Linked DNA regions of Drosophila melanogaster. The protein of the gene in region 2 interacts with the protein of the main gene of each other region in a pairwise test. Each region holds a gene or a part of one and is shown on either strand. Other genes may lie near its edges. The genes, in order: TrpRS-m and CG17637.

Evidence for each region.
Region 1: the proteins of CG17637 (region 2) and TrpRS-m interact in a two-hybrid assay, tested with the Drosophila melanogaster proteins (one large-scale study listed by BioGRID).

Annotation. Positions count from the first base shown.
Region 1 is NT_037436.4:17,844,168-17,856,297, reverse strand, and holds TrpRS-m (Tryptophanyl-tRNA synthetase, mitochondrial), read right to left. Parts: upstream 6,572-12,130; 5' UTR 6,419-6,571; coding exon 6,200-6,418; intron 6,138-6,199; coding exon 5,710-6,137; intron 5,522-5,709; coding exon 4,171-5,521; 3' UTR 3,845-4,170; downstream 1-3,844. Other genes in the region: CG5535 (uncharacterized protein), read left to right, coding at 1,591-1,958, 2,029-2,289, 2,344-3,129, 3,199-3,650; CG7430 (uncharacterized protein), read right to left, coding at 7,153-7,218, 7,282-8,160, 8,224-8,751, 9,060-9,101; MED19 (mediator complex subunit 19), read left to right, coding at 10,107-10,544, 11,404-11,518, 11,584-12,044.
Region 2 is NT_037436.4:20,498,019-20,508,714, reverse strand, and holds CG17637 (uncharacterized protein), read right to left. Parts: upstream 4,530-10,696; coding exon 3,015-4,529; downstream 1-3,014. Other genes in the region: CG5078 (uncharacterized protein), read right to left, coding at 1,340-2,683; CG18281 (uncharacterized protein), read right to left, coding at 7,215-8,843.

The DNA.
Region 1 (12,130 bases), 2.7 Mb from region 2:
AGCTGCTGGTTTTGGCGCGTAAAAATTCCATTTAAACTGGACGCAATTGAGTATTTCTATTACTTTGTACTGGGAAATAATACTTCATTTAAAAAATAAGTCATACTAAGAATATATAGAAAATTTAAAAAAAAAACCTTTGTTCTCAAGTCGCGTTTCTTATCTTGTGAAGGTTCTTTAAGATATCAGCAACTTTCTAATGTGTTAGATGGATGGACTATTAATTGACAGTGCGTGTCAAAGATGTAAAGTGAACTGATCCTAAAATTTAGCTACCCTGCTACTTATTTAATGACGACAAACAGTTTCCACTATTCGAACCGCTAATCGAACGCGACAATTCATTAGGGCTTGTGGTAAACTTGGCCCATCGACCTGACAAGTCATCCGATACTCGTACTTCATATTCAGGTGGAGATGGAGGTGGGTAACGGGTTACCAATTAGCGTTATCAGCGTCAGAGGCGCGATTCCACCACAGTTGTGTCTGACCTGAGGATTCGAGAGCTTCTGTCCGGCTGGAACTCACCACGATCCCCGGAGCCGTGGAACCGATTCGCTATTTAATGGCACTGGCGTGCTTCACAAACGCTCAGAAATAAGTGGAACGTTTCCCGGCGCTATACGCAACTCGATACAATTCCAAACTGCGAATTCGAATACGCAAACTCAATTAAGAGGCAACCAGATACAGATACGATTGTTATTTGCCCACTCAAGTATTTGAAACTCGACTCCACCCTTGGAAACATAGAATGGCTGGCAGTTTGTGATATTTTGTGAAATATAGATTCAAAGGGGATAAATTACAAAATAAAAAAAAGTAAATTTGTGTTAAAGGATCTGACTAGTTCACTAATAAACAGGTGAGAAAACGATAAATACAAATATAAATTTTCAAACACATTTTAATCTTTTATCGAGAATTGAAAAAGAGTTTATTAGTTTTGAAAAATAGTTTAGATTGAGATCTAAAAATAAATGTTTTTGCTTACTTGTCCGTTTTTTGTTTTTTTCTGTTTGTGACAGTTTTGTGTGATAAAAGTAAAGAACTCATTTTTTAATAAACTTTATTTTTTATATTAATTATTTTCACCTATGCTAACGGAAATAGATTTAGAAAACTTGAAGGATTTTCATTTTCAAATTTCTGAAACCTTATCAAATTTGCATCTGAACAGTTTGACAAATTCCTAGTTTCTTGAGCGTTGTCTTAGCTGAGGCACTGCACCTTGGAATAACTTTGTGTGGAGATATCCCCTGTGAGTCATTGGTAATAATCCCCGATGATCACAAGACTCCAATTTAGATCAGCTTCGACTCGACTTGGCGGCTGTAAAACCGTTGTCTACATTCGCACATTAACGGACGCCCACTAATTTTCTTATGGCCCGATCCATAAATCCAACTCCGCACAATTTCTTAGCCCACCTACCATCACAGGCACTTTCCACAAATTGCGAACGTGTTAATATGTGGGTTCTGTAAACATCGAAAATACGGCGGGTTATTATTGCACGGCTCAGCAGAAGCCCTAAGCCCCAATTGCACACTTACCCATTATAATAATTGTTTAATGAACATATTCCAGAATGCCCAGCTGGAGCGTGACGAATGCGTTTCGCGTGCTCACACGCAAAAAGCCCCTGGAGGACTCAAATGAATCCAAATTGGCCAAGGTCTTATCCGCCTTCGATCTTACCGCCCTGGGAATCGGATCGACGTTGGGTGTAGGCGTTTACGTCCTAGCTGGCGAAGTGTCCAAGCAATATGCCGGTCCAGCCGTGGTCGTAAGCTTCCTCATCGCTGCCATCGCCTCGATTTTCGCCGGGCTGTGCTATGCGGAATTCGGAGCTCGGGTTCCAAAGGCGGGATCGGCGTACATCTACAGCTATGTGACCATTGGCGAGTTTATCGCCTTCCTCATCGGCTGGAATCTCATTCTCGAATACGCAATTGGTAAGTTTTCAATTGGAGACGACGACGTCTGATTGATTTGATTTAATTGCCCAATATTCGCTCTCCCTAGGCTCTGCCAGTGTCGTCAAGGGTTTAAGCACCTATCTCGATCAGCTTTGCGGCAATCCGATGAGCAGTTTCCTGGGCACCCACATGCCCCTCAACATCGAGGGAATGGGTGCCTATCCGGATCTGTTTGCCTTCGTGGTGACCATACTTTTTTCCCTGGCCATTGCAGTTGGAGCCAAGGAGTCCACCAGGGTGAACAATGTTTTCACTATGCTTAATCTTGGAGTCGTGTTGTTCGTCATTATCGCGGGTCTTTTTAAAGGTGGGTTTTGAAATTGTTTTACATATTTATTTACTTACACAATCCTTTTTTCAGTTTCCAGCAGCAACTGGTCCATTCCAAAATCTCAGGTACCCGAGGGCTACGGCGATGGTGGATTTATGCCCTACGGAGTTTCGGGCATAATAAAAGGAGCTGCAGTTTGCTTTTACGGCTTCATTGGCTTCGACTGCATTGCCACAGCTGGAGAGGAGGCCAAGAACCCCAAGAAGTCCATTCCATTTGCTGTGATTGTCTCGCTGGCCATGATCTTCCTAGCCTACTTTGGAGTGTCCACAGTGCTGACCATGATGCTGCCCTATTTTGAGCAGGATGAGAAGGCTCCGCTGCCCCATGTCTTCCGGATAAATGGGTGGCATGTGGCCGAGTATGTTGTCAGTATTGGAGCGATGTTTGGACTGTGCTCCAGCATGATGGGAGCCATGTTCCCGCTGCCAAGGATCGTGTTTGCCATGTCCAACGATGGACTGCTGTTCAAATTTCTCGGAGACATTAGCGAGAAGTACAAGACCCCTTTCAAGGGAACCATGATCACAGGTATGCTGACTGGCATTCTGGCGGCAGTTTTCAATCTTAGCCAACTGGTGAACATGATGTCCATTGGCACTTTGTTGGCCTATTCCATGGTGGCCAGTTGTGTCCTTATGCTGCGCTACGAAGTGGACGATCGACGGGAGAGCCGCATTGTGGCAAACGGACGTGCCACGGGTCTGGAGCAGGATCGTCCGTGTGCTCTATGGAGGCGTATATTCAACCTAAATGGTCAGACAGTACCCACAAAGCAGACTTCAAGGATCGTCACCTACAGTGTCACGCTGTTCTGTGAGTGCAAATTTTAGTTTTAAAATTAGTATTATTAATATACCCCTAATAACATTTATTTTGTTTCAGCTCTTTGGTGCATGGTTTTCTCGCAGATTCTAACCAAGTTCGAGGAGGATCTGGCTAACGTGACGTCCTTCGATGGTATTAAGCTGGTGCTAGGCACCATACCCCTTGCAGTACTGCTCCTGGTCATCTCGCGTCAGCCAACATCAGGGGTGAAATTGTCGTTCAAGGTGCCCTTGGTTCCCTGGCTACCCGGCATTTCCATTTTGATCAACATTTACCTGATGATCAAGTTGGACATTCTCACATGGATTCGCTTCAGTATATGGATCGCCATAGGCCTGGCAATCTTCCTGGCCTATGGCATCCGTCACAGCCGGCTGAGGCAGCGGGAACAGCGCAACAATTCCATTGCCATGATGCGGGACTGCAGCAATTCGGCGTTGTTGGGCGGCCAGGAGAACTCAAAGTACAGCAACGAGGTGCCCCTGATATTGATGCACAGTACATCCTAAATATATATTGATATTAACCACACTATACATTTACTTTTTTTGCCTGCGAAATGCGCGATTAGACACGCTTCTCATCATCCACATACTCACCTATGTAATTTACACATGCACTTATCCTCATACCGTAAGATAGGATACCAAAAACAAACGAGAGTACAATAAGTTAGCTGAAAGCAATAAACACGAATATTCCTATGCTAAATCAGTATAAATTTATTTGGGTGCGAGATTTGCTTATAATTTAGCGATGAAATCCAGCCGGTCAATGCAATCACATGGGATTAAACATACAAGTTCAAAATGTAATCTTACTGCACTCTCAGTACATAACAGTAAATATAACAATAATTGTAGTGTCAGTATCCACATATGCCATTTGATTTTGATACGTCTATATTATCTTGACTTCGTCTTCTGCTGCAAAAGCTGTTCGCGATTTTCAAAAAAACGACAGATTTAACAGTAATGTTACCTAAGTATACTTGTACTACACTTATAACAATTGCAATGTTTCCGAGAGTTAAATCTCGACTTTGGTAGCTTCAGTGGCGTTGCGCTCGCCTTTCTCCCTTTCACGTTCCCCGGACTCCTCCTCTTCAGCTTCTTCGCGTTGCTCCTCAGAGGAAGCAGCCTGCTCTTCCTCCTCGCTCGCGACAATTATGAACTCACTGTCTCCTGCCGTAGAGTTAGTCTTTTCGCTCGAGCGACTTGAATTGGAAAGCGATTCTAAGGCAGAGCCGTACAAAGCGGGGTTGCAGGTAAACTCCTGCTTCTTAGCAGCGTTTACTTCACGTGCAATGGTGGATACCGCACTAGGATTCACGTTCTGGCTGTGCTTGTAAGAGCCACCCTGCGATTGCTGGCCGAAGCCCAGGTTGCCAGTAACGGGTTTAACTGTAGCGCGCTTGTTCTTGGCTAGAGCACCGGTGACCATGCTGGCCGAAAATCCTGGCGGCGGTTTGAACCCTATATGCGGAGCATTGCAGGTGTCCATCTGGAATACGTGCCGAGTTCGAGTGCTACCTAGTTGTTTCTCTACGCGCATAGACTGAGTGGGAACGATGGGCGCCCGACGGATCACCCGCGGTACAACGGCCTGAGGCATATCCGCCACCTCGCCGGTGGCTGACTGACCAGCTCCTCCGCTTGGCTGATCTCCGAATCCGTACATCCGTTCGTGACGCTCGTGGACATTCCCGTCGAAGTCCTTGGACATTCGCCTGCTTGCTGAGGTTTTGGAAATATCGGGTGCGGGCAGAAGTGGAGCCACATGCACCGCAGCCGGAATGTTGGCACTGGTTCCTAGTCCTAGGCGCTGTTTAACATCGTTCAACGTTTGGCGTGCCTGCTGACGTGCCTTTTCTGCACCCACTTCCAGCAAGTAGATCATCTCGTTGCGCTTAGTCATGTGATGGTGTATCTGTTCTCGGATCGGACGCAAGTGCTCGACCACAGCCTCCGCCACACGGTCCTTATACTTTGCCGTGTCCAAAGTGGCGGCCTCGTTCACCACTGTCTTAATGCTCTGTCCCGTGACCTGGGCATGGATGTTGACCAGATTGCTGACGCCAGCACGCTTGCCAGGATTATAAGTAATGTCCGATGTAAAGTCTGTGACGGCTTTCTTTATCTTCTGCGTAATCAAGTCGGGCGAGTCACACAAGTTGATGGTGGCCTTGGGATTCGCTTCCGATTTAGACATCTTTTTGGAGGGATCTCGCAGGGACAGCACACGGGAGGCATCACCATCCTCAATGATGGCGGTGCAAACAGGGAAAGTCTCGCCATAGCGACCGTTATAAATTCTGGCCAAGTGCTGGGCCAGCTGAATGTGCTGAATCTGGTCAGCGCCCACAGGAACATGAGTGGACCTGATCGAAAAACGAATATGAATATTATAAGTACTATAATAAGTAAGCAAATGGCAAACCATTTCAGATATTAAAGGGTGGTTTAAAAATATGTAAAGCTGAACCAAAGCATTTAAGTCTGATAAGCAACTAGGACTCTTGCATTCCCGGCTTACATTCTGAACAAAAAACGGAATATATTTACTTACTTGTAAAGCATAATGTCGGCTGCTTGGAGAACCGGGTAAACGTACAATCCCAGAGGGACATCCTTTAGAAGACGGGACTTCTCTCGGAACTGCGGCAGTTGAGCCAATCGCGGCATGGTGGTCAAGGAGCTAAGGATCCAATTGAACTCGGCGTGCTCGGCAACGGCGGACTGGACAAAGAGGGTGCTCTTGGTGGGATCGATGCCACATGCCAACAACGTGGCGGCCATGGTGAAGATGTTCTCTCGCAGAAGCGGCGGATTGTGGGGCATGGTAATAGAGTGCAAATCCACAATACACACGGTGACATCGTCACGAGCATTCTGCAGCTGCACCCATTTGCGCACGGCGCCGAGATAATTACCCAGATGCAGGGAACCCGTCGGCTGGATGCCACTAAAGACTTTCCTCGGCCAGCGGGTGTTATGCTGGGTTGGGGTAATATATTAGAGTCTTGTGTTATGTAAACTATTTCTACGAATGCACTTACTTCTTCGTGGCCACTGTTAACGGAATTACCATGGGGGTGTACGTGCTGCTTGTTTCCACCGGTTACCTGGGCCGTCGCAGAGGGCGTTCCAGCCGTCCTACTAGCCAATCCCGGCAAGAAACTCCTCGCCTGAATGCAACGGCGCTGGGAATACACAGCTGTCTGTCCCTTTTTGGCCACCTTAGACAGACTGCGATGGAGCTTGCCAAATCGGAACATTGCAATGAGCTATGAATTTTGTACCCCAAAACTTTTGAGTAAAAAATATTGGGAATAATGCGGTGCTAAATGTGTGAACAAAGCCCAAAAATAAATTATTTGTTCGAAACGGCCGAAATTTTGACACTGAGCGTTCGCGAGCGTTGCCAGATGGCTTTTGAAAAGCCGGTACGACAGCTGTGAACAGTGATACTCAGCTTGGCGAGTTTTCCGCTAAATCGTGGATTAATATTAATATTCAAATTTAATAAAGAATGTTATTTATTATCATTTTTTTTATAACTCTCTATTTAAGGGTATTACCTATTTACATCTTACTTGTGAACGTATGGCTTGAAATTTAATGTAATTGTTTGATGGTAAATAAATTGTAGAGACCAATTGAACAATTTTTTTTTTTTAACAGGACTCCTATTATTTTTATGCTTATAGCTTTATTAGTGGTACACCAGAAAATCTAACGACATTGAAAAAGAATTAATCTGCAGAACTGCAGTTTCGAGTTTTCAAACAGTGTTGTATTTATTCTAGCTTAATACACATATTACATTGCAATTAACGCCTGGCGCCATTACCATTATTTATATTTTCCACTTTTCTGTTCCTACATTGAGAGTTACAAATATGCGGAGACTGTCGTTTCGGCCGTCAGGATAATTTTTCGAATAGGGGTTATTCAAAGATTTCAAACGCGGTGCAAAATTCTTCACTATCTGGCAGAGATTGGGAAGTGCTTAGAAGTTGATGGGTTTGCCAAAGGCAGCTGCCACATTGGCCTCACGCAGGGCCTCGGAACATGTCTGAAAGAAGGAATTGTGCGCATTAGGTTCGAAAGGTTCAAATCAGATTAGGTAATCACTTACTGGATGCGCATGGCAAACGCGGGCAACGTCCTCGGCAGCGGCTCCGTACTCCATGGCCAGCACAGCCTCGTTAATGAGCTCGCCGGCACCAGGTCCGATAATATGGGTTCCCAGGATCTTATCGGTGGCCTGGTCGGCCAGAACCTTGACGAAACCGTCGGTGTCGTTGTTGGTCTTGGCACGAGAGTTGGCCAGGAAGGGGAACTTGCCCACCTTGTAGGCAACACCCTCCTGCTTCAGTTGCTCCTCGCTCTTGCCAACCCACGCGACCTCGGGATGCGTGTAGACTACACTGGGCACGCAGTTGTAGTCGATGTGCACGTGGCCGCCGTTGATGCCCTCAATGGTGATGAGGCCCTCATCTTCAGCCTTGTGCGCCAACATGGGTCCGTGGATGCAGTCGCCGATGGCGTAAATATTGGGCACCACAGTTTGGAAAGTGGCGTTGACGGGGATCCTGCCGCGGTCATCCTTAACAATGCCCACGGCCTCCAGACCCAAACCTTCGGTGTAGGGACGACGTCCAACACTGACCAGCAGGGCGTCGCACTGGATCTCCTCTTTCTCGCCAGACTTGGCGTTCTCCACGGACACGGTGACGTTGTCGCCGCTGCGAGAGGCAGCCGTCACCTTGGTGCCCAGCTTGAACTTAAGACCCTGCTTGGTGAGCACCTTTTGGAACGTCTTGGAGACTTCGTTATCGATGCCCACGCCGCCGATCGTATCCATGAACTCAATGGCAGTGACCTCAGCGCCCAGACGCGACCATACCGAACCCAGCTCCAGGCCAATGACACCGGCGCCGATGACAACCAGATGCTTGGGCACCTTGGCCAGCTTCAGGGCGCCAGTGCTGCTCACAATAACTTCCTCGTCGATCTGTGAAGGTTTTTGAATGGCATGCATTAGTAATCAAGCGCGCTGTAGAGGTTTTGCACTTACTTCAATGCCAGGGAAGGGGGTAACCTCCGAGCCGGTGGCGATGAGGATGTTCTTGGTCTTGACAGTCTCCGTGGAGCCGTCGGATTTCTTAACCTCCACCTCGTTGGGATTGACGATGGTGCCGAAGCCCGTCAGCTGTGTGACCTTGTTCTTCTTGAAAAGCATGGCAATGCCACCGGTCAAAGCCTTCACGGCGTTGGACTTTTGACCCATAAGCTTCTCCAGATCCAGGCTAACGCTGCCGCAGCTAATACCACGTTTCTCCAGATCACCGGAGTGGGCCATGTGGTAGTAGTGGGAGTTGTTCAGCAGCGCCTTTGAGGGAATGCAGCCAACATTCAGGCAGGTGCCGCCCAGAGTTGCCTCCTTCTCCACGCTGACCGTCTTCATGCCCATCTGGGCGGCCTTGATGGCGGCGACATAGCCACCGGGTCCGGAGCCAATCACCACGATGTCCGCCTCGTGGGTGCTGGAGTAGCAGCGGGCGTTGAGGGCACCCAGAATGGCGGCATTGGTGCGCAGAGGAGTCTGTAAAGACGGCAGATTACTACATGTTGTGGCACCTTATCATTTATCACGCCAGTCGCACGCATTTCGCACTAATCTTCGGCCGACTATCAGCTGATAATTGGCCTAATTAGCGACCTTGAAAACGGGGCCAAACAAATCCCCAAACGCCAGTGAATCACCCACCGGGATCATATGAGCACTGCAGGTGATCCAAGTGCATTTTCCAGCCTTTTCCTGCCCATTTCTCGACCCCCTCGGTGAGGTTAGATTGCATAACTTGAGGGGCGATGGCGTTTGGGGAATCGGTTATGTCGCCCGATCCTTACCTTGGCTACTGCCGAAACAACATGACGGAGCGTGAATTGCATGGCTGGTGCGGGCGAGTTATGAGGATAATCGTTATTTAACTACAAACACAACACTAGTTTGATGTGTGTTTTTCCGACTGTTTTTCGTGTTGTGGGGCTCGGAGCGGTCGCAGGGCTGGCGATGTGCATTCGATAGTGGTCATATGATGGCCGCGATGCTATCGATTGTTTTGGTGATTTTCCACTCTGTTGGAATTTGAAATTCTAAAACATTTTCGTATGAAAAAGATGTGTATAAAAATATTAGCTTGATGATCGTTCAAAATACGATATGTCCGTCACTCAATTGCTAGTTTATACAATATTCACTTTATGGGTCATTTGTTGTAGCAAAAGCTACCTAAAAACAAGCCAACTATACGTGTAAGCCGGCTTTTATAGTTTTGGCACCCATTAATTAATGTTTTTGTACGTATAAAATAAACTGTAATAAATAAACTGTAAAATAACTGTTTTAAAAATATATAACTCAACGTACATACGATACATATATAATAAGAGTTCCAAAGTAATATTAACTTTATTATATCTATAGGTAATTAAAAATGTATTATACGATGAATATTCGATAGTTTGCCCTACAGTACAACCCTGTGTGGTATTCCCCATCTGGGATATTTCCCACAACACTTTTGGTATTTTCACGTCGCGTTCATCTCGCGTTTTCGTTGAAGCCTCAGTATTTCGCTAGCTGTCGCAATGCGGTCACACTGGTTCGCGGACACAACAAGATGGCGAGACTTGCCCCCGAAATCTGTTAGAAAACGCCACAAGAGCAAATAATTAGTTCAGTTTTCGACCAGAAAAGAGTCAGCCGAAGTGCCGGGCAGACGCGGCGCATTTTGCAGAGTGTGAGCTTGGCCAGCGTTGCCCGAGAGCCGCGACAGGCGACACCTTCTGCTGGCCTTGCCTTGTTGCTGTGCCCCTGTGTGCGTGAGCGTGTGCGGTGCGGTGCGATTGTGTGCGTGGGTTGCCAAGAGTGAAGAGAATCGCTGAGTTTCCAAGATGATGAGCAACTACGGCAACATGATGGACTCACCGAAGTCATCGCCCCACGGCGGCGGCCGATCACCCGTGGTGGCCCGTCAAGACTCATCCGGCACCCTGAAAACGACCATTTCGCTGGGCAAGACGCCAACGATCATTCACACGGGGCCATTTTACTCCATGAAGGAACCACCCGCCAAGGCAGAACTTACCGGCGACAAGGATCTCATGACCGAGTACGGACTGCACCACACACTCACCAAGTTCAAGGAGAAGAAGTTCAAGGAGTCGCTGGCCTCGTTTCTGCAGAACATCCCCGGCATTAACGACCTCATCACGCATCCCGTGGAGAATAGCACGCTGCGGAGCGTGATCGAAAAGCCGCCCATTGGTGGAAAGGAGCTTCTTCCGCTGACTCCCGTGCAGCTGGCCGGATTCCGCTTGCATCCCGGACCGGTTGGTTTTTCCAATATGCTTTTAATTCGCTTGCTCAGTTTGAAAAATGACGAATCTTTAGATACGGCACATTGAACATCTTAGAATACATTTAGACGCTATTCAATGCTTTGCGTCTCTATACATTTGCATGCATTAATTTCGCTTTTTAAAATTTGCATATGAAATTTGGATTTAAGTGTCCTTGCACAGACTGATCTACTATAAAGTGTTATTTGGTCGCACCTTTTCTGTCACTTATTTCTATAATCACCGTAGTATTTTAGAGTTGTAATTCATTTTCCTTATGTTCAACAACAAATTTGAAACACAAATATTTTAGTCATTAATCACAAAAATTACTTAAATTAACAAGAGTGTAAATGTTGGTTTTCCCTTTAAACCTCTTTTGAACAGTGTATATTAAGTCAGTAGTTCGCAACGCAGTGATCTATATGAACAGCTGAGTCGATAAGGCCATGTCCGCCTGCCCGTTTTCTTTCAGTTTTAAATTTTTGTTGCAAGTAGTGCATAAATCAGAACGCGCCAGTTTAGGCCACTAATTCATATTGCTGCCATATGGTTTAATATTATGATATTCAAAAAAAAAAAAAAAACTAACCTTCCTTGTTGACGGATTGTCCTTCCTTTCTTGTTATTGAAATATTGGCATTTAATATTATTGAGAGTTTTCTTTCACCCTATATGCAATCTAATAATAATAATAATTCATCTTAAAAGGTTTCGTGAAATATTTTTTACATGTCATATATTTCAAACAATGGATAAATCGTTACTAGAACAAATTGCATAAAATATATTATTTTTTTCCTCTGCACTTTCACATTGCTAATTTATCCGATTCTGGTGCTCCTTTCAGCTGCCGGAACAGTATCGTACCACATATGTCACACCTGCGCGTAAACACAAAAACAAACACAAAAAGCAAAAACACAAAGACGGGGTGACCACGGGACAGGAATCCACGCTGCTCGGTAAGCAATCTGCTGAATTATCGAGCAACTCGATCACACATAATCCAATGATAACCATCTTGCAGACTCGGCCGGCCTGGAGACTTACGAGAAAAAGCACAAGAAGCAGAAACGCCATGAGGACGACAAGGAGCGCAAGAAGCGCAAAAAGGAGAAAAAGCGTAAAAAGAAAAACCAGAGCCCCGAACCGGGCGTGGGCTTGCTGCCCGGAGGAGCGAGCTTGGGCGGAGCAGCGGGTGTAATGGGAGCCACTAGTCTGGGATCGCTGGGAGGAGGACCTGGAGGACCCGGGCTGTCCAGCCTTAGTGCCAGTATGGGACCTGGCGTTGTGGGGAACATGAATAGCTTCTCCTCATCGATGCAGATGCAGCAGCAACAGCAGATGCCCATGCAGCAACAGCAGATGTCAAGTGGCGGTCTGCTGGGATCTGTGCTGGGCACTAGTGGCGGTCCAGGTGGCGGCGGCGGAGGAGGAGGTGGTGGCGGGGGCGGCGTCGGTGGGAGTCTGCTTATGTCGCAGTTTTAGGCAGGATCCTTTAGCAAAATAGACTTGGCTCATTACCTCTCATCAGCAGACGCACCCCAAATGGCAACATAAAAAAAACGCAGAGG
Region 2 (10,696 bases):
GGTTGCCGGATTCGTGTGAACATATGTTCCATACGTTTGTGTGACTGGTTGATAGTGCTCGCCAAAGAATCGAAATTGAAGGCCAATGGCAGAAATCCCAGACGCGGCTGAAAAAACCTAAAAAGGAGGCATACAACACCAACATAGCGAGATAAAAGTTATGTGTCACTGAATTTTTGCTACAGGGCGGGTTATTCTGAAGGGGAGCTAAATGGTTTGGCATTTTCTCTCATCTCAAATACAAAAAAACCTGTTTATATCGTATCATATCACTTATGTATATTTCATATATTGGGTAAATTTAAGAGTTAATCAAATTAAAATCTAGATTGATGTCCAACGAGATAATTGAAATAATTACCCAACGAGTTACATAGTATCTGTTATATTACAAAATTTTACCTTTGGACACACCCAGTTCAGCACCCCAATCCAATTGAATCCGCCCCTGCATCACACTTAAATAATATTTACCCAGTCGACGCCAGTGAGACTCTCACTTCTCATGTTCTCCCCATATTTTCATGTCCCTAAGAGAGTAAGAGAATCGGTTTTGCATGCACGTGTTTCAGTATAATCACACTATTTTCTCAACTTTATGGCTCTTTACATACATAGGCATACGTACATACGTACAAATTTAATGGGATACTCGCTTTTTCAAATGGAAAGTTTTCGGCTTTGCCTGTGTTTGAACAAAACCAAAAAATAAAAAAAATAAGGGAATACATCTGCCAAACAGGAACGCTCGTTTGCGAAGAGATGGGGAAATATACATACATACATACATAGGACAGCTTGGTCTATTTATGGGTTTCTGCAATTGTTGTTAATAAATTATCTATTGTCAATTTCTTTTGCTACCGATTGCACCATGCTGACGGGCACAACAAACAAAAGGCCAGACTGTTGCGTAAGAGTCAACAAACTGTTGTTAATTTTCAGCTTCTAAACAAATAAGAAGAGCAAAATGAAAATTTATAAATAAATAGCAGGGAAATGCCAAGGAAATTGGAAAACAAAAACCAAAATAAACAGACGCGGTCGTCGACTGAGAGGCAGTGCTAAAGTGGCTGATTAAATGAAGACAACGACCGACATAGCGTCTAAATCTTAACCCACTAAAGCACAATTTTCATTATCGCGAAACGCAAACAAAATGCAAGCAATTAAATGCAATTAAAAATGACCTTTCGCACCCTTTTTAGTTAACGCTTAATTAAGTTTATATTTTGATTTTCTACTGAAAATGTTTCTTATTTTTAAATACTATTGCTTCTGACCTCGTGTAAACCCATATAGTGAACTAAACAAGCTATCTAAATAAAGATTTGTAAAACTATATTGTTGTCGCCTCCTCCATTTCAATAATATACTTCAGTGCGGAAAATTCCTCTCTCCTTCCCCTGGAAACCTTTTCATCTGGGATATATGACGCCAACAGAATGCCGATAAACACAGAGATAGCTCCAATCATAAAGGGATTGGTCACAGTGCGATCTCCACTTACACTGCCTATCAAAATTCGATTTTTATCCAAATCCATGTCGGATAGGTAGAATACGATACCGAACAGAGCGGGTCCAAGTCCACTACACAATCCCGACATTCCCGTGATCATTCCCTGAACTGCTCCTTGAGTTTCAACATCCGTGTAGAGGGATACGTAGGCACTCACGGCCGGAAAGGTGATGGAACTCAGGGCAGCTACATTTCCGGCTAGCCACATTTGCCACTTTTCGTATCCTATGGCGAAGAGTATGAGTTGCAACAGTTCCAGGAGCAATCCAAGTATTATAGCATTCTTGGCACCCAATGTCTTCACTATTGATCCCAAGGTCACGTTTATCGAAATGCCTAATATGGCCATGAACGCCACCAGCGTGGAGAGTTCCGTGAAATCAAACCCCATTGTTAGTTTCAGATAGGCTGGCACACTGGAATATTCCCCAGCTTCGGGAAGTAGAAACGTGAACATCACTACGCACAGTAGCAGAACATTAGGATCCGAGCCCACTCTTCGCAGGGATAGAAAAGGATCCGCTTGTTTCCAGCTCAATCCAGTGGATCTAACGTTTTGTTGTAATGTTTCGGGCACAGCCAGCAGTACAAACATCACGTTCGTTGTGGAGACCAAAGTTGCTACTAACACCACAGTATTAATTCCGTAACGATCCATTATGAGATTACCCATTGCTGGGGCGATCACCAAGCTGGCAGCAAAGGTGGCCGATACAAGTTCATAGGATCTAGAGCGCTCTTCCTTTGTGGTAACATCCGCCACATAGGCGAAAGCCACTGAGAAGCTAACACCCAATACTCCACTGATCGAACTTATCACAAAGAACCACCAGTTATCCATGGTCATCATGGGGATCGGTAAGGAAGTGAAGATCACTGTTATAAGGAGCAGCACTTTCCGCCCATATATATCCGATAAAGCTCCGATCAGGGGCGACGACAGAAACGAGAGTATTCCCTTGACTCCCATGACCAATCCGTTCATTAGGAACGTGTGGTCTGGGAAGGTCTCCTTTAGAGTGGCTATCATGGGCATTGTTAGCAGGCCCCATGCGAAGTATTCCAGAAAAACAACTACTAGTATGTGCCCAACACTTGGCTTTCCAATTCCCGAAGTAGAGGCCAACGATACGAGTAACTTTTTCAGACCGAACTTGGACATATGTATATAATGGGAGTTCAACATGGAGAATACTAAACTTTCGAGTTTGGAAATTCAACTGAACTGAAATAACAATTTGTATGGTCTTTCAGCGTAGCTAATACCTTTTGGTGATTAGTTAGTTAGGTGAGTCCGAAAATGGTATAAGAACTTGAAGTTTTCTACACGTTTAAACAGTCGATATTTGTCGCAAATCCAAAAGTTTCGAGTTGAAGACTTTTAATTAAGTTAAAAATTATTTAAATTACAGATACGTAAGTCTACATTCTTTAAATCCAAACCAAAGTAGCAGTCATTAATATCTACTTATAAATATCCTTATTTTTCGCCTTTAAGGAATGTTTTCGTTGGCGACTCTAGTTTCTTCATTTCCAAGAGTATCCTTCTTAATGAAACTGCTCAAGACGATGGCCACAAAAACACTGATGGCACTTATGACGAAGGGCATTGAAATTGGAGAATTGACCTTAAGATCAGTCTCCGAATCATCCTGAAAAATGAAGAAGAGTAATCCGAAAAAGGCAGGTCCCACACCCTCGCTCAAGCACTCAATTCCAGAGATAATGCCCAGGACAGCACCCCGATTATCGGGACTGGCGTAGATGGAAGCCACCGCATTATTGGCAGCGGGTATAATTGTTGCCAGTGCGGCCAAGATACTGCTTAACCAGTACATCCAATGATGGGTTCCAAAGCCGAAGAAAAGCATTTGCAAGAACAATAGTAAAAGTCCCAGACGGATCGACCACTTGGCCCCTACTATATTCATAATATAACCGAGTAGTATATTGGATGTGATCGCCAGCACAGATAGTAATCCCAACATCATGGACACCTCCTCGTACTCAAATCCCATATTAGTTTTGAGATAAACGGGCGCAGTAGAATCCACTCCTGCAAAGGGCCAAATCGAGAGGAATGTTATGAGGTATATCACGAGCAGGTTCTTATCCTTACGACTTTTACGCAGCACTTCCCAAAGATCGGAAGAGTTTAGGGATCCATTATCAATTTTCTCCTTTTCAGTTAAATCATTCTGAAGGTTTTCCTCTTTGCTGAACTGTTGGTCCAGCTCTTTATTTGTGACTATATTCTGTGAGGTGGGTTTGTTCACTTCAACATTCACCTTTCCTTCTCCATTTAAGTTCTCTTTCTTTTCCTTTGGGCTTATGTCATCCACTTTCGTGTCCTCCACCTTGTTATCATTATTTTCATTCAAAATAACCTTTTTCTCCTTCAAAACTAAACTCTCTGGCACCGCAAATATGATAAACAAGATATTGATCATCCCAGTGATGGTGGCTATCAGAATAACTGATGCGGACCCGTACGATTTCATCAAGTAATTCCCCAACGATGGAGAAAAGGCTATTCCTGCCCCAAAACTGGCCGCCACAAAGCCATATCCTTTTGAACGATTCTCGACAGTAGTTGTGTCTGCCACATAGGCTAATGAAGAGGAGTAAGTGCTGCCACAGATGGAGCTCACAGTGAGAATGGCGAAAAACCACCAACTCTTCAACATCATGAATGGAATTGGAGCGTAGGTGGTTGCCACTGCCAGTAGCATCACTACTTTCCGGCCATGAAAATCGGAAATGGCACCCATCACGGGCGTGGTCACAAATCCCAGGATTCCTCTAACTCCATAAACCAGTCCATCGACGAGAAGGACGCGATTCCCAAACGATCCCGACAATTTTTCGATGAAGGGAACGGTGAGAAGACCCCAGGAGAAGTAGTGCATAAACGTAACGATCACCGCGTGCCAAACACTTGCTTTTCCGATTCCAGAACGATTAACCAATACTTTCACCAGGGGTCTAAGAAACTTCAACTGCGCCATTTTTTAGTGTTCTGTCCGCGAACTGGCCAACGCCAGAATAGCCTGACAACTCCAGTTTAAATCCAATTTATACGCCTCAGTTTTATAGAAAATATAGTTATGGCTGCACTGGAAAAAACATGATACTCGAACTATACTACACTATTTTGTCGTTTAAAAAATATATCGTTTCTTAAGATGTTTTATTGAGTTTATTTGAAAGAGAGGTACACATATTTCGAATATATTAATATTCATATATTATTATCATTCTCTCTTGATACTGGCAATTAAAAGAAAAGGTTCCCGTTTACAACTAGCGTATAAACTATTATTTGAAACCAACAAGTAGTGCCATATACATATATTCACAGTTTTTCACGAATATAAAATCAAACATTCCGAACTTTTTAAAAGTAAACCATAAACAATTATTTAACACAGTTTCGTGCCTTAAAATATGATTCGAGAATTGCCATATGACTTTGAATAAATATGAATTTATATGAATATAAAATGAATTTTCTGAAATATCTGCAGCTTCATTAATTTATATGAGAATATTGTTGGTACAAAAAATATAACAACACAAAGGGAAACTCTATCAGATACCCTTTAAGCAGATGGTGGGAGTCACATAGAATATTGCAAGTAAACCAGTATAATTAAAAACGACAACGAAAGGGATTTCAACAGTGCAAGCGCGACAGTTTGGACGGTTTTCGGATTGGGCTTGGCCCAAATGAGTTTGGCAGCTAGAGTCAAGTTGTCCGACTATCAGATACCCTTTACTCAGCTAGAGTAAGTGCGTTTGACAAATTTCAAAAAAAAAAAAAAGCGTTTGCGTGATATTTTTTGGCGATTTCTGGTAGCAAGATTGGGTGTAACAATCTTGCGATGCGTCTACCTCTTTAAAATAACCATGCCTAATAGTAACATTCTAGTTTTTATAGGTGCCGAGAACCCAGTGTTCATACGGACAGACCGACGGACATGGCCAGATTGACTCGGCTAGTGATCCCGGCCAAAATGATTAAGCGAAATACGAGAGTATTCCCTTGACACCCATGACCAATCAGTTCACCAGGAACGTGTGCTGTGGTTTTTTCGATCTTAACGTGTGGCAAAACAATCGAAAGGTGGAGCAAAAACGAAGGGGATTGCATAAAAAGTTCCTAAAACATTTGTGAGAAAATAAGGTTAAAATCGAACTGGAAAATGTAAAAACCCGGGCCGAGGGCCCCTTTTAAAAGTAAATATCGATTGATGTGAAGATCTGATGTTCAAATTTATGCGAGCCACTTGTGAGTTTAAGGAAGCCGTGTCAAGAAAATCAAATTAAAATTTTTGTATCGTTTGACCCCCTTTATATATCCCCACCTTTTATTTTTGCTTTGCCACGTCCAATTTCAAAAAGATAGAAAAGAACGCCTAAGTCGAATTCCAATACTATCAGATAGCCTTTACTCAGCTAGTAGAAGTACAATCAAGAAATTTCAACATTTTTTTTGTCATATCGCTAGTAATTGGCAAAACCAAAAAAATTTTAGAAATTAAATCATTTTTCAAAACTGTGGGTGTGGGAAGTCTCTGCTGCGTCTATGTTTTTTAATATCCTTTTGTAGTTCCTTAGATTTCGACGTTCATATGGACGTCCGTCTGCCTGTGGACATTGGCTGATCAAATCAATCAGTGATCCTGATCAAGAATATATATACTTTTTAGGATCGGAATTTGGAAAATCTATATGCCTTGGGAGATGTATAACTTGTTCATTTTTCGGCGTTTTCAAATGAAAACAAAAAATAATTTGTAATTTTCAAAAAACGAAAAGATTACTAAAAATGTATAAGATTAGAGATGTATAGAATTACTAATAAATGTATAAATGTATTGAACCCAAAAGATTGATTAATTAATTATGATTAATTAAGCTGAACTCATCTTTTAAGACTTATTATATTAAAATGTAATATATACCCGTTACTGGTAGAGTAAAAGAGTATACTAGATTTGTAGAAAAAGACTGTAAAGGCAGAAGGTGGACAGAGAAGGATGGCAATAGCGCAGAGTCGATCTAGCGATGTCCGTCCGCCCGTCTGTCGGTATGAACGTCGAGATATCAGGAACTATAAAACTTATAAGGTTGAAATTCAGCATACAGATTCTAGAGACAAAAACGCAGCGTAATTTTGTTTGCGCCACGCCCACTTTAACGTTCACAAACAGCACAAAACTGTCACGCCCACACCTTTGAAAAATATTTTGATATTTTTCATATTTTTGATAGTCTTGTAAATTGCTATCGATTTGCAAAAAAACTTTTTGCCACGCCCCCTCTAACGCCATAAAACCGACCAAAACTGCCACGCCCACACTTTTGAAACAAGTTTAGATTTTTCTTCGTTTTATTGTGTCTTGCGAATTTTTATTGGTATACCAACAACACTGTGGCCACGCCCCTCATTTCACGTACAAAACGCCCAAAACGATCCACACTTTTAAATTTTTAAATTGTTTTTTATTTTATTACCTAATATCTATCGATATCCCAGAAAAATGATGAAACTTCGCGATCGTATTCCGACTAGATGAGTAATAGGTATCTGATAGTCGGGGAACTCGACTATAGCATTCCCTCTTGTTGAATACTTAAAACAAGTGAACATTTTATGAAAATTTATATAACGTTTAATTAAATAACAATTATTTAAAGCTATGTTCTTTACAATCCGAATCATAGTTGTCATCTATCTCTAGTTTTACATAACCATTATTCTTTTCATATTTAAATGTTGTTTTCGCTAGTGGTTCTACCTCATCCTCGCTAGCGTCGTCTATGATCTTATAGATCAATGGTGCCTTTTCGACAGTCTCCTTTTTAATAAAACCTGTCAAGACGATGGCTACAAATACACCAATGGCACTTATGACGAAGGGCATTGAAATTGGTGAATTAACTTTATTCTTCGAATCATCCTGGAAAATGAAGAAGAGTACTCCGAAAAAGGCAGGTCCCACACCCTCGCTCAAGCACTCAATTCCAGAGATAATGCCCAGGACAGCACCCCGATTATCGGGACTGGCGTAGATGGAAGCCACCGCATTATTGGCAGCGGGTATAATTGTTGCCAGTGCGGCCAAGATACTGCTTAACCAGTACATCCAATGATGGGTTCCAAAGCCGAAGAAGAACAACTGCAATAGCAGGAGTAATAATCCCAGTCGGATCGACCACTTGGCCCCCACTATGTTTATAATATAACCGAGAAGGAGATTGGATGTGATCGCCAGCACAGATAGTAATCCCAACATCATGGACACCTCCTCGTACTCAAATCCCATATTAGTTTTGAGATAAACGGGCGCAGTAGAATCCACTCCTGCAAAGGGCCAAATCGAGAGGAATGTTATGAGGTATATCACGAGCAGGTTCTTATCCTTACGACTTTTACGCAGCACTTCCCAAAGATCGGAAGAGTTTAGGGATCCATTATCAATTTTCTCCTTTTCAGTTAAATCATTCTGAAGGTTTTCCTCTTTGTTGAACTGTTGGCCCAGCTCTTTATTTGTGACTAGATTTTGTGATGTGCCGTGGTTGGATTTGTTCGCTGAAACGTGGTTATTCAATTTTTCTTCTCTGTTTAAGATCTCTTTCCTTTCCTTCGGGTTAATGTCCTCCATCTTGTTATCACTCTCTTCATCCAACATATTATTTTTTTCTTTTAAAACTAAACTCTCTGGCACCGCAAATATGATAAACATTATATTAATCAAGCCTGTGATGGCGGCAATCAAAATAACTGATGCGGACCCGTACGATTTCATCAAGTAATTCCCCAACGATGGTGAAAAGGCTATTCCTGCGCCAAAACTGGCCGCAACAATGCCATAGCCTTTTGAACGATTCTCCACAGTAGTTGTGTCTGCCACATAGGCCAATGAAGAGGAGTAAGTGCTGCCACAGATGGAGCTCACAGTGAGAATGGCGAAAAACCACCAACTCTTCAACATCATGAATGGAATTGGAGCGTAGGTGGTTGCCACTGCCAGTAGCATCACTACTTTCCGGCCATGAAAATCGGAAATGGCACCCATCACGGGCGTGGTCACAAATCCCAGGATTCCTCTAACTCCATAAACCAGTCCATCGACGAGAAGGACGCGATTCCCAAACGATCCCGACAATTTTTCGATGAAGGGAACGGTGAGAAGACCCCAGGAGAAGTAGTGCATAAACGTAACGATCACCGCGTGCCAAACACTTGCTTTTCCGATTCCAGAACGATTAACCAATACTTTCACCAGGGGTCTAAGAAACTTCAACTGCGCCATTTTTTAGTGTTCTGTCCGCGAACTGGCCAACGCCAGAATAGCCTGACAACTCCAGTTTAAATCCAATTTATACGCCTCAGTTTTATAGAAAATATAGTTATGGCTGCACTGTAAAAAACATGATACTCGAACTATACTACACTATTTTGTCGTTTAAAATATATATCGTTTAAACTAGAACTCCTCGCAGAAAGCAAAGAGATGTGTCAAAGAGATCGTAAGCAAAACGCAAATAAGAGAATTTAAAAGTTTGTTTTCAAAATAGCTGAAATTTTCACAAATATATTAACATTATTCATCCAAGCTATTAATAATAACAAACATTTCCCTCTCTTGTTAGTGAGAATAGAACCATAAGGTTCCGATTTACAAGCCAACAAGTAAAGCCATCTACTTTTAGAACTTTTTAAAGGTAAGCCATTAAAAATTATTTAACATATTTTCGTGTCTTAAAATATGGGTTGAGTATGCATGCCTAAACTTTCTATATGACTGTGAATAAATAGTGACATTTTTGCAAATCACAATCACAACTTAGAAGTGCGGATATGAGAATATTGTAAGTATACATATGTATACCAAACCGAAAAAGCACGCTTTAGTCGAGTTCTTCGACTATCACATACCCATTACATGGCTAGCAATGGAAAAACAAAAACAAATTTGTGAAGAAATTAATTCAAAATTGTGGACATGAAAGCTTTTTGCAGTTTGTTGCCGATACCAGTGGACGTGACCAAAATGTTCTCGTTTTGAGAAGTTCGATTTTAAAATCTAGCCAAGATCTAATCATTCTCAGCATACTCAAATCGAGATCAAACCATTCTCAGATTGCAAATGATTTTGCTTTCATTTGTCTTCCTCTCTTTTTTCAGACTCTTCGACAATCTTACACCCAATACTTCTTCCGAAAAATAAAAAATATAAACGTTGAGATCATTTTCGTCTCGAAACCAAGAAGGTTTATTTATTCACTGAGTACGCTGAGCGCAACCGACCTCTATTTTTTTGTTCTCAATTTTTCCGAGTGCAGGAAATGCTTACCTCCCCGCCCGTTTCGTACTTTTTATCTAGCCGATAATACTCTTTTAGTCTACAAGAAAAGGGTATAAATATATAAATACAAATCTCGCACTATTTGTCTGTATTAAATTATAAATTATAAAAATGTTTGGATATATTTCATACATATCGTTCGAGGGATAGCTTTTTATTATTGACTCATTTTATCTAATGAGTCATATCCCTTTAGGTTTGCAATATATTTTTTTTAGCATGCATAGTGATAGGCTTTTAAAACTTTGTTGCTTAAATTGCGTTATTTATTAAAGTAATAATTTGTAAATTATTGTGGAAATAAAGCCCGCTTGTTGTTTTTTTAACTTAATATCTTTAGATTAGACTCACCGGCCATAAGTTCGCTGTTTTGCTGATCCTGCAGCATTGGGATCACCGGCTCGCCGCCAGGTGGCGCATCTGGCATATCATCGGCCGTATGATCGTGACCGTGGGCGGTGGGGGCGTGGCCCTGGGTGGGCGGTGGCTCGGCAAAGAGCATCTCGAAGCGCAGCCGGGTCTTGATTGGACAGACCCTCAGCTGCTGTTGCTGTTGCACTTGTTCGAGCGGGCCACCGATCTCCAGGTGACGATATAGAGCATAAATTTCGGTTTTATGCTCGAAATGGCTCCAAGTGCCGTTATGGGCGGCGTATTTACCGTTGGCGTGATGGCAGCCTGCTTCTCTGACGTCACAGCAGCCGGCTGATTCAACAGCGACAATTTCGCTTTCGACGGCACCAAACTGGCGTAAATAATCTAAAAATAAGACGAGGTTTTTTTTCCTCTGTACACGG